2 linked regions of the Drosophila melanogaster genome follow. The protein of the gene in region 1 interacts with the protein of each later gene in a pairwise test. Each region holds a gene or a part of one and is shown on either strand. Other genes may lie near its edges.

Evidence for each region.
Region 2: the proteins of CG7024 (region 1) and CG13407 interact in a two-hybrid assay, tested with the Drosophila melanogaster proteins (one large-scale study listed by BioGRID).

The regions. Positions count from the first base shown.
Region 1 is NC_004354.4:4,703,315-4,708,093, forward strand, and holds CG7024 (uncharacterized protein), read left to right. Parts: upstream 1-1,994; 5' UTR 1,995-2,249; coding exon 2,250-2,372; intron 2,373-2,690; coding exon 2,691-4,007; 3' UTR 4,008-4,190; downstream 4,191-4,779. Other genes in the region: Pdha (pyruvate dehydrogenase E1 alpha subunit), read left to right, coding at 241-805, 881-1,203, 1,274-1,456.
Region 2 is NT_033777.3:22,101,851-22,106,359, reverse strand, and holds CG13407 (uncharacterized protein), read right to left. Parts: upstream 2,947-4,509; coding exon 2,858-2,946; intron 2,291-2,857; coding exon 2,105-2,290; intron 1,830-2,104; coding exon 770-1,829; downstream 1-769.

The sequences.
Region 1 (4,779 bases):
CGATATGTGGTTATAGCTCTCTATAGATTAGTATACTTTGATTAGAGAAGCTTGAAGCCTATGGTTATTTGGTTTATCCAATCAAACTGCTATCATTTTATTACTTATCATGCGTTCCAAACGTTTCCGTTACGTTCTTATCAGATGTGTGTGTCAGTTGTTAATGTAAAAGTAGAAAACGTTTTTAAAATTAATGAAGTTTAGGGATCTAAATTCTAAATATGCTTTCCAACTTTGCAGCCCTTCAAGCTGCACCGCCTGGACGAAGGACCCGCCACGGAAGTGAAGCTGACCAAGGATCAGGCCCTCAAGTACTACACACAGATGCAGACGATCCGTCGGTTGGAGACGGCCGCCGGTAATCTGTACAAGGAGAAGATCATTCGCGGCTTCTGTCATCTGTATTCCGGCCAGGAGGCATGCGCCGTTGGCATGAAGGCGGCGATGCGGGATGTGGACAACATCATCTCGGCGTACCGTGTCCACGGATGGACCTACCTGATGGGCGTCTCACCCAGCGGCGTACTGGCTGAGCTCACCGGTGTCCAGGGTGGCTGTGCCCGCGGCAAGGGTGGCTCCATGCACATGTACGCACCGAACTTCTACGGAGGCAATGGCATCGTGGGTGCTCAAGTTCCTTTGGGTGCCGGCGTTGGCTTGGCCTGCAAGTACAAGGGCAATGGCGGCATGTGCCTGGCCCTCTACGGTGATGGTGCCGCCAATCAAGGACAGGTGTTCGAGGCTTACAACATGGCCTACCTGTGGAAACTGCCTGTGATCTTTGTCTGCGAGAACAACAACTACGGTGAGTGCTGTAGAAAGTGGAACAATGCTAAAAGATATTTACTTAAACCAAATGTTGTATAATTATACCCATTAGGAATGGGCACCAGTTCTGAGCGTGCTTCCTGCAACACTGATTACTATACCCGCGGCGACGCTCTGCCCGGAATCTGGGTGGACGGCATGGATGTGCTGGCCGTGCGCAGCGCCACCGAGTTCGCCATCAACTATGTGAACACTCACGGACCTTTGGTGATGGAGACGAACACGTACCGATACTCTGGACACTCCATGTCCGATCCGGGCACATCGTACCGCACACGCGAGGAGATCCAGGAGGTGCGCCAGAAGCGTGATCCCATCACCTCCTTCAAGGAGCTGTGCATCGAGCTGGGTCTGATTACCACCGATGAAGTTAAGGTGGGTTTGGCTTATAGGGTTTTATTTTTGTTATGAGTTATGATTGCTAAAAGAAAAAAACATCTTCCAGGCCATCGATCTGAAGGTACGCAAGGAGGTCGACGAGGCCACCGCCTTCGCCAAGTCCGATGCCGAGCTGGGCGTGAGCCACCTCTGGACGGACGTGTACTCCAACAATCTGGAGCCCAAGCTGCGCGGCACCATCGCCTACGATATTGATCACATCCAGGAGCGCAAGGGCGTCAATCACTAAGTCATCGGGCCAACGAATCTGATTCGGGAACTCACAAGAACCTTAAACGAAACAAGAAAACCGAACAGCAAACACAAATCACTGACAGACAGACAAGAAGACACAATAACTCAGAAACTTGGACACAAGCGAAATCTCTAGATCATAAGCCGAAAGTTGAACGATGAGAACCCCGTAGAACGGAACGGATCCGAAGAGACCCACAAAAAGCTTAGCTAATCGGAGCACTCCAACCACACATCGTAGCGCACCACATAACTCTGGGGTACTGCATTGGATATTATATTGCGAACGTGTTCAATAAGGATAAAGCGAGGTGTAAATTGTTGAAAATATAAAAATCTAGAAAAATTAATCCAAATTAGTTTTCTTAACAAAAGTGAATCAAGTATGTACTTTTGAAATGTGAAAATCTCAGTCTGTTTCACCTATACTTGCACTATAGAATTTTGATAGATTTATAAGATATTAATAAACGGAATAGATTTAATAGATAATTCGATTTGTGGAAGAATTACAGTTCGAATCAAAGTAGTATTTGAAAAGGAGCAGTTGTCAGCTCCATAAGCAATCCCAAAATCGTTATATTTCCTTCTCGTTCTGTTTAGTGACAGTTGCCATCTCTGTCGATTTGCTTATGATTTTACTGTCGATTTCTTTTCGGTTGAGTACAAATCCATTTTTCAACAATTTCCGATCATATTCAAAATTTTAGTGCGTGGCAATTGCCCATTTGGCTACAAGCTCATTTTAGTGCCCCGGTGTTTGGGAATTGGTATTCGGGCAAGGGCCAATGATGAAGTTCAGTTGTGTCCGCGTGGCGATGAGATGCAGTGGAGCCCACTCCATCCTCGAGAGAAATATGCTCTGCAGGATAATAGGGCGCCACAAATGTAGCTGTTTGACCCTGGAGAACGTAAGTGTTTTGATTATCACAAGAAGGTCAATGGATAAGTAAATACCATTGAAAAAAGCTATATCGTAAAAGTTATATTTTTCATTTTGAATTAAATTATGTACTCTGAAAAATGTTTAAATATTTGCTGTTAAGTATAGCTGATATAAATCTAACATAGAAACGACTTAATCTGCTCATCGCGTAGACCAACACTGAATATAGACATAAGCTGCTGATATTTTTCAGTGCTGCACAACACATAGATTCTTCTTGCGTTCCTACTAGAGCAGCATTCCGAAATGGGTTACTTTAATGATTTTGTTATGCCCGTTGCAGACGTTCAAGTGCTACGACCTGGAGAATGGACCCACAATGGACGTGGAGCTGTCCAGGGAGGACGCCCTGACGATGTACACGCAGATGCTGGAACTGCGCCGGTTCGAGACGGTGGCGGGCAACTACTATAAGGAGCGAAAAATCCGCGGCTTCTGCCATTTATATAACGGACAGGAGGCCGTCGCTGTTGGCATGAAGCAGCGTTTGAGGTCCTGCGACTCGGTCATAACGGCATACCGTTGTCATGCCTGGACCTATTTAATGGGTGTTTCCCTTTACGAAATAATGGCGGAATTGTTCGGAGTTCGAACTGGATGCAGCCGGGGCAAAGGTGGCTCTATGCACATGTACAGCGATAAGTTTTATGGCGGCAATGGTATCGTTGGTGCCCAAGTTCCGCTCGGCGCGGGAATTGGCCTCGCGCACAGTTATCGCAAGGACAACGGCGTGTCGGTGGTCCTTTATGGTGATGGTGCCGCCAATCAGGGCCAGATCTTTGAGTCCTTCAACATGGCCAAGCTGTGGTGCTTGCCCTGCATATTCGTTTGCGAGAACAATCACTACGGCATGGGCACCCACGTTAAGCGGGCCTCTGCCATGACGGAGTTCTACATGCGTGGCCAATATATCCCTGGTCTTTGGGTCGATGGCAATCAGGTGCTGGCCGTGCGTAGCGCCACCCAATTCGCCGTGGACCATGCCCTCAAGCACGGACCCATTGTGCTCGAGATGAGCACCTATCGCTATGTGGGTCACTCCATGTCCGATCCGGGTACATCGTATCGCTCGAGAGAAGAAGTCCAATCGACGAGGGAGAAACGCGATCCGATTACAAGTTTTCGCAGTCAGATCATCGCCTTGTGTCTCGCCGACGAGGAGGAGCTGAAGGCCCTGGATGATAAGACTAGGAAGCAGGTGGATAGCATTTGCAAGAAAGCCACCACCGACAGGGAGGTAGAACTTGATGAGCTGCACACCGATATCTATGCCAAGAATGTGGATGGTAAGATCCGCGGCGTGTCCGGATTCCATTTAGAGCACATCAAGCTGGCGGAGGTGTGCTTTGGCAAGCCGAAGAAGACGCCGGCCAGCGAGATCAACGACGTGCCAGTGGGCGCAGAGATTGACGTGGCCAAGGCCAAGGAAAGGAAGGCCAAGCAGGATGCCAAGAAGGCCAAGGAAGCCAAGGAACCTAAAGGTGGCGACAAGAAGGGCGCCGACGCCAAGCAGCCCAAAGGCGAGGGCGACGATGGCGATAAGAAGCCAAAACCAGCCGCACAGCCGCCCACCAAGGCGCCACCCGCTCCCAAAAAGTAGTATGCCCCCACGGAATGGAACACCATCGTTAGCTTTTCAGCAAGTTGAAAGTTTCGCCAGAGTGCTTTAGCTGGTTTCTGAACCCAAAAGACGCAAGCAAATTTATGTAAAACATATACAGTATGATTCCGTTTTGAGTTGGAAATGGCGAACTTAAAATATATATTAATTAATTATATTAGTAATGCAGTTTTCGTTTTAATTTTTTGCTTTTTGATTTGAAGTATAAGCATTTGTATTGAAAGTTTGAAAGTTGAAAGCATAGATTATGAAAAGATACGGTACTTTTCAGAGCTTTTGGGCAAAGCGTTTGGAGCTTTTTCTAACGGACACCTGTAGCAACGCGCTCCATTTCGCGCTCCTTGGCGGCAACTGGCTGGCTAATCGAGCGGATCTGTGGGGAGATCAGAGCGGTGCACTCATTTTATCATTCCGCCTAAATGGCTTCTTATTATTCTTCTTGGTCTTATCTCTACCGTTCGGTTGAGATGAGAGCCACGCGCTGTGCACCCGCCCTCTCTCACGTCCGCACCCTCTCGCTCGCACACCTGCCCGTTGTGCGGGGAATATAGTCGATATGACCGATCGGGGGATTCAGTCTCCTCGCGATGCTCTGGCGTTGATCTTCGCCGATCTTCACGTGCTAACCGAGGTCTTTCCTGTCGCCAGTCCACTCTTTTTTTTTTTGTTTTTCTTTTCTTTTCACTGCGGGTGTGTGTGTGTGTTTTTTTGGTTTCTATTGTAAAGTGTGTGGATTGATTGATTGAGGAGC
Region 2 (4,509 bases), on another chromosome or scaffold:
CGCCAAATGGCAAAATGCATTTTAAATTGCGCTAAATGTGTTAATTAAAGCTACCCCAGTGCCACCATCCAACAGACACGAGTTTGCTTTTGCCGCTCATTGGCCGTGATTATTGTGGAGCCAAGAACGAAATCCCACTAAATAAGTAAACTGCTAGCTAGGTAGCAATGCAACAGATTTGTATTAGACAAACGGGTGTGTGAGTCCGGAAAATTGCAACTTAGTTGCTGTGGCAGGCAATAAAATAAAGTCTTAGCCAAGCGCCAGGCAAAATCTGGGGGCACTTTTAATTTGTTGTGCAACAAATTAGCATTTATTTTCATTACGATTCCAACTTGCCGGGTGTGTCTGTCTGCCTCACCGCCTCATCGCCTTTTTCCATTCATTTTTTGTCAGCTCTTATGCACGTTGTTTGCTTTTAATTATAAATACATGTAAGCTAAGCATTTTTAACCCTCGGTCGTGCATTATGATATACAACTTTTAAAGGTAATGTAAAATAATTCTTATATCGTATTATAACTTTATATGAAAATCAATAATACAAGTAAGTTAAATGTGGTATTTTTAAGCTACAACGAAAGAGCGTGGATAATATTTACAGAATGTAAAATGCCATAAGCTATAAACGCTGCTTTAGCTGTTCTAAAAAAAAATCCATTCACATCTTTTTTTGCCCATCCACATTATGCCACCCCATTTTTGTGCAATGGGTTAATGCAGCAAATCCCCGCCATGCAACATAGAAATGTGCGCGGAATTCTTGCATTCAATTAATGCGTGTGCGAGTATAGAAAGCATCGCTGCGTCGCCGCTGCTGACCATTCTCGTCCTCATCCCAGAAACCATCTGCATCCGTATCCCTATCCCTATCCCGATCCCTATCCCTGTGGCCATAGCCATAGCCATAACCATGACCATCGTCATCATCACCTTGCCGTCGCTGGGCATTATCCAAGTAAGAGCTCACGCCCGACTGAGCGCCCAACGAAGCTGAAGACCACGGTGCGGATGAGTAACGCTGCCTGCCATAAGACCAAGGATGCCGATGGGAGTTTGTGCCAGCATACGGGTTATAGTGGTGCTGATAGTAATCGGAGCCCGACTCCGATTCAAAGTCGGGCCGGGACGAGTGGTCGATGTGTGTGCGATTAGGATAGAAATCGCCGCCATCGGAGGTGGAGAAGGTCTGAGGCGGAGGTCGGCGCTGCCCGTAATTATAAGCATCATCATTCGCGTTGTGGGGCCGATAATCGTGATGATTTTGCTGAGGGTTCGACTGGTACTCCATTGGCTGGCGTTGGGGCGGCTTATTGGCCATCTCCGTGTGACGGCTGTAGGGCGATTGCAGCACCACCGTGGGCGTAACAATGGAGGGCGGCACACTTGGCTCGACGGCCGGAACTAAAGCAGCCTGATGATTCCAAGATGATGCCGCTGCCGATGCCGTTACCGATTCGGTGGCCGTTGTCGAGGTCTGTTCGCGTGAATTCATCTCGGCTAATTTGTTGAAACGATTGCGAGTGCCGCTGGCTGTGAGCACCATCACGGTGGGATTCATGTCAGCCATATGATCCTTCAGGCAGTTCTGCAGCATGTTAACAAAGAAGAAGAACGAGAGCAGCGTTAGTGCGTTCATCACCGAACCGCTGCTCTTCTTCGATTTCTTTGACGATTTGGTGGGCGGAGGAGCCGGTGGTGGACCAGCCGGCGGATGGTGGGCAGATGGATATGCGGGCCCACTGCCCGCACTACTGGGATGAAAGGAGGAGAAGCTACCCGAGGGTGGGTCATGCTGCAGCTCGTACTCCACGGATGGCTCTATGCCGCTGCAAAATTCAAACTGGCATTAGATGCGGAACTTGCACTGGAATTGGGGTTATGGTTTGACTTTGATGGCCAGTGCACAGGAAGAAATAGGTAATTTAGGTTGATAAGTTCGAAACTTTAGTATTCATTAGTATCAATATTATTAAGTATATATTCATCTTCAAATAGTTATTTATATTTTTTCATAACAGTTTAATTTCTTTGTATATTTGGAATGAATTTTCTTGTTCATCCCATTGCTTTTCTCTCAGTGCAGCGGTGGTTCTTTGCTTACCCGTAGCCGGAGTGTCCGCTGCCAGCCGCCGTGGCCGCATAAGCACCGTTGTGGCTGCTGGCGGCCGCCAGGAGCGGTGGTCGTCCCTGCTGCCCCTGGTATCCTTGGTGTCCTTGGTGGTAATGGCCCGGCAAGTAGTGGCTCGGGTAGTAGTGGTTGGGATAGTAATGCACACGCTGCGTTTGACTGCAAGAGAAGGTTAGAAGGTGAGTGGTGAAAGCGGGCAAGCGGATGAGTGAGTGGGGGGGGGGGGGGGTTGGGCATGTGGTTGTGTGGCCGAGACGCCGCTTCTGTTTGTGTCCCACATTAGCCCGGCTAAGTGCCTGAGGTATCAGTCCGCGCCCGCAGTGGCTGTCTTTTGGGCCAGGGGTCGTTTGCGATTGCAGTTGCCTCCGGCACTCCAGCACTTAATCTTTAAGCCAAAGAGCACACTTTATCCTGTTGCAACTGACTAAACTCTTTCAAGGCTCCTTTAAGCGATTATTAATATTACGTAGGATAGAAGAAAGAAGTTTGTTAAAGCGTTTAAGTTTTGCATATATCAATGACTGAAAAAGAATTAATTCATTATTTACGATGTTGTTTAGCAGGACTTCTTGATAAATATATAAAAAGCACTTAAGCGAGTTCAGATTAACAATATAATTCTAGGGAACTGAGTGAGTGTGCCACTTCTTAATTATATCAAATTTAATTTGATTTGGCTGTATGGCAAATACAGTCGACATCCCAATGCCTTTGACCATGGCTTACGCATAATTATTTCCTGAGATGGCTGAAAGCAGCGGATGTTGTTCCTGCTGTTGCACGTTGAGTTGATTTGTCATTTGGCCGTCGGACATTTTCACCGTCTTTGAGTTCACCAAATTCAATTGCTAATTGATTTGTGCCGAAAAGCGCGCATGTTTATCACTACACGGTGCACCAGCGTGGCTCATTGTCGCTGGTGCTCAACCTGCCATAAACCGATGGCAACTCGACTGCAGAAGCCGCAAACAGGACGATCAGGACTAACAGGACGAGCACGACGAACTGGAGTTTGGGGCTGAAGCAGCAGGAGATGATGCGCCCAACCAACCGCAAGTGACAATGTCGTTTAGGCAACTGGGCAAAGCCTTTCCCAGACACTTGCCTGGCAGGCGGCTATTAACGCAGGTGAACTTGAAGTGGGTGGTAATCGTGGTGGTGCTGATAGTGGTGTTGCTGGTGATGCGGGAAAGAAGAGAGGCAGGCGACTGTCATTGTCAGCTGCTAAGTGAGTTTGGCTACAACTAGCAACTTGCAACTGCAACGGCCTTAAAACAACTACTCAATGGCAGTGTTGGCAGGTACGGCTCGAGCAAAGCATTTGTACCAATACTTAAACTAGGTACAAGTACAAAAATTACAAAAAACATAGTAACTCACTTATTAAAAGAAGAAGTTATAGATTCTAAACGAGAGCTCCTTACTTTATCCACTTTGCTATATTGCTTCTTTATTGAATTTCAGGAAAGGTAATCTTTAGTATCTTAATTTAATTTTGTACTCCGTGGAGAAAGTATTTCCATTTCCCATCACTGTTCGTAACACGTACCCAAAAGCCAGCTGACAATTGCCGGCAAAGTGTTTTGTGGCGACAACGGCCAACTGACACACACCTGAATTGGAGCGTTGCGTTGCATGCATGCGCTGCACATTTCGGCCAGGCCAGACAATTAGTGAGCGACAAAAGGCCGGGAATGCTCCTTGGCATCAACCCCCCCCCCCCTACACTCCTCCTACTCCCTACCCTTACCGATTCCTGTCAGTGTTAATGACGCTCCAGTCGCTTGTTTATTGCATTAAAAGCTCTATGGATGCAGCGTTATGCATCAGAAATTGTCATAATTGTGCCATGTCTGGCCCAGACTTTGCCACTGTCGTCTGTGCAGCCAAATGGAGCTCGGTTCTTGTGGTCCCTTGTGCGGTTAGTCGAACCCGGCTTTTGGTTGGGGTCCACTTCCACTTCTCCACATCCACGCCTTTGGTCTTAAAGATTTATGACTGGGGCTAATAGTTTTCATTGCCAGAAAAGATTTTTATATTGAATTGAATTTTATGGGGTATATTAGTGCTGCTTATATCAGTTATCACACACTACAAGTGCTCTGATCTTCCACTAACTTTTTCTAACTATATTTAATTGTAATATATATACTACTTTTAAACAAGAAGTATACAACTCTTCGATCACAAACATAGCACAGTCTCGAAAAATCCCTGTCTGTTGTCTTTCGTAAAGCGGAAACATTAGACTGCAATAACAAATATTTAACATTTCCGCAGTGCTAGCGACAACGTGGAGCAAAACAAAAAAGAAAGAACAACATCAGCTAGATTTGCAGAATCAAAAGCATATAATAAATTGCACTGCAACTTTTCCA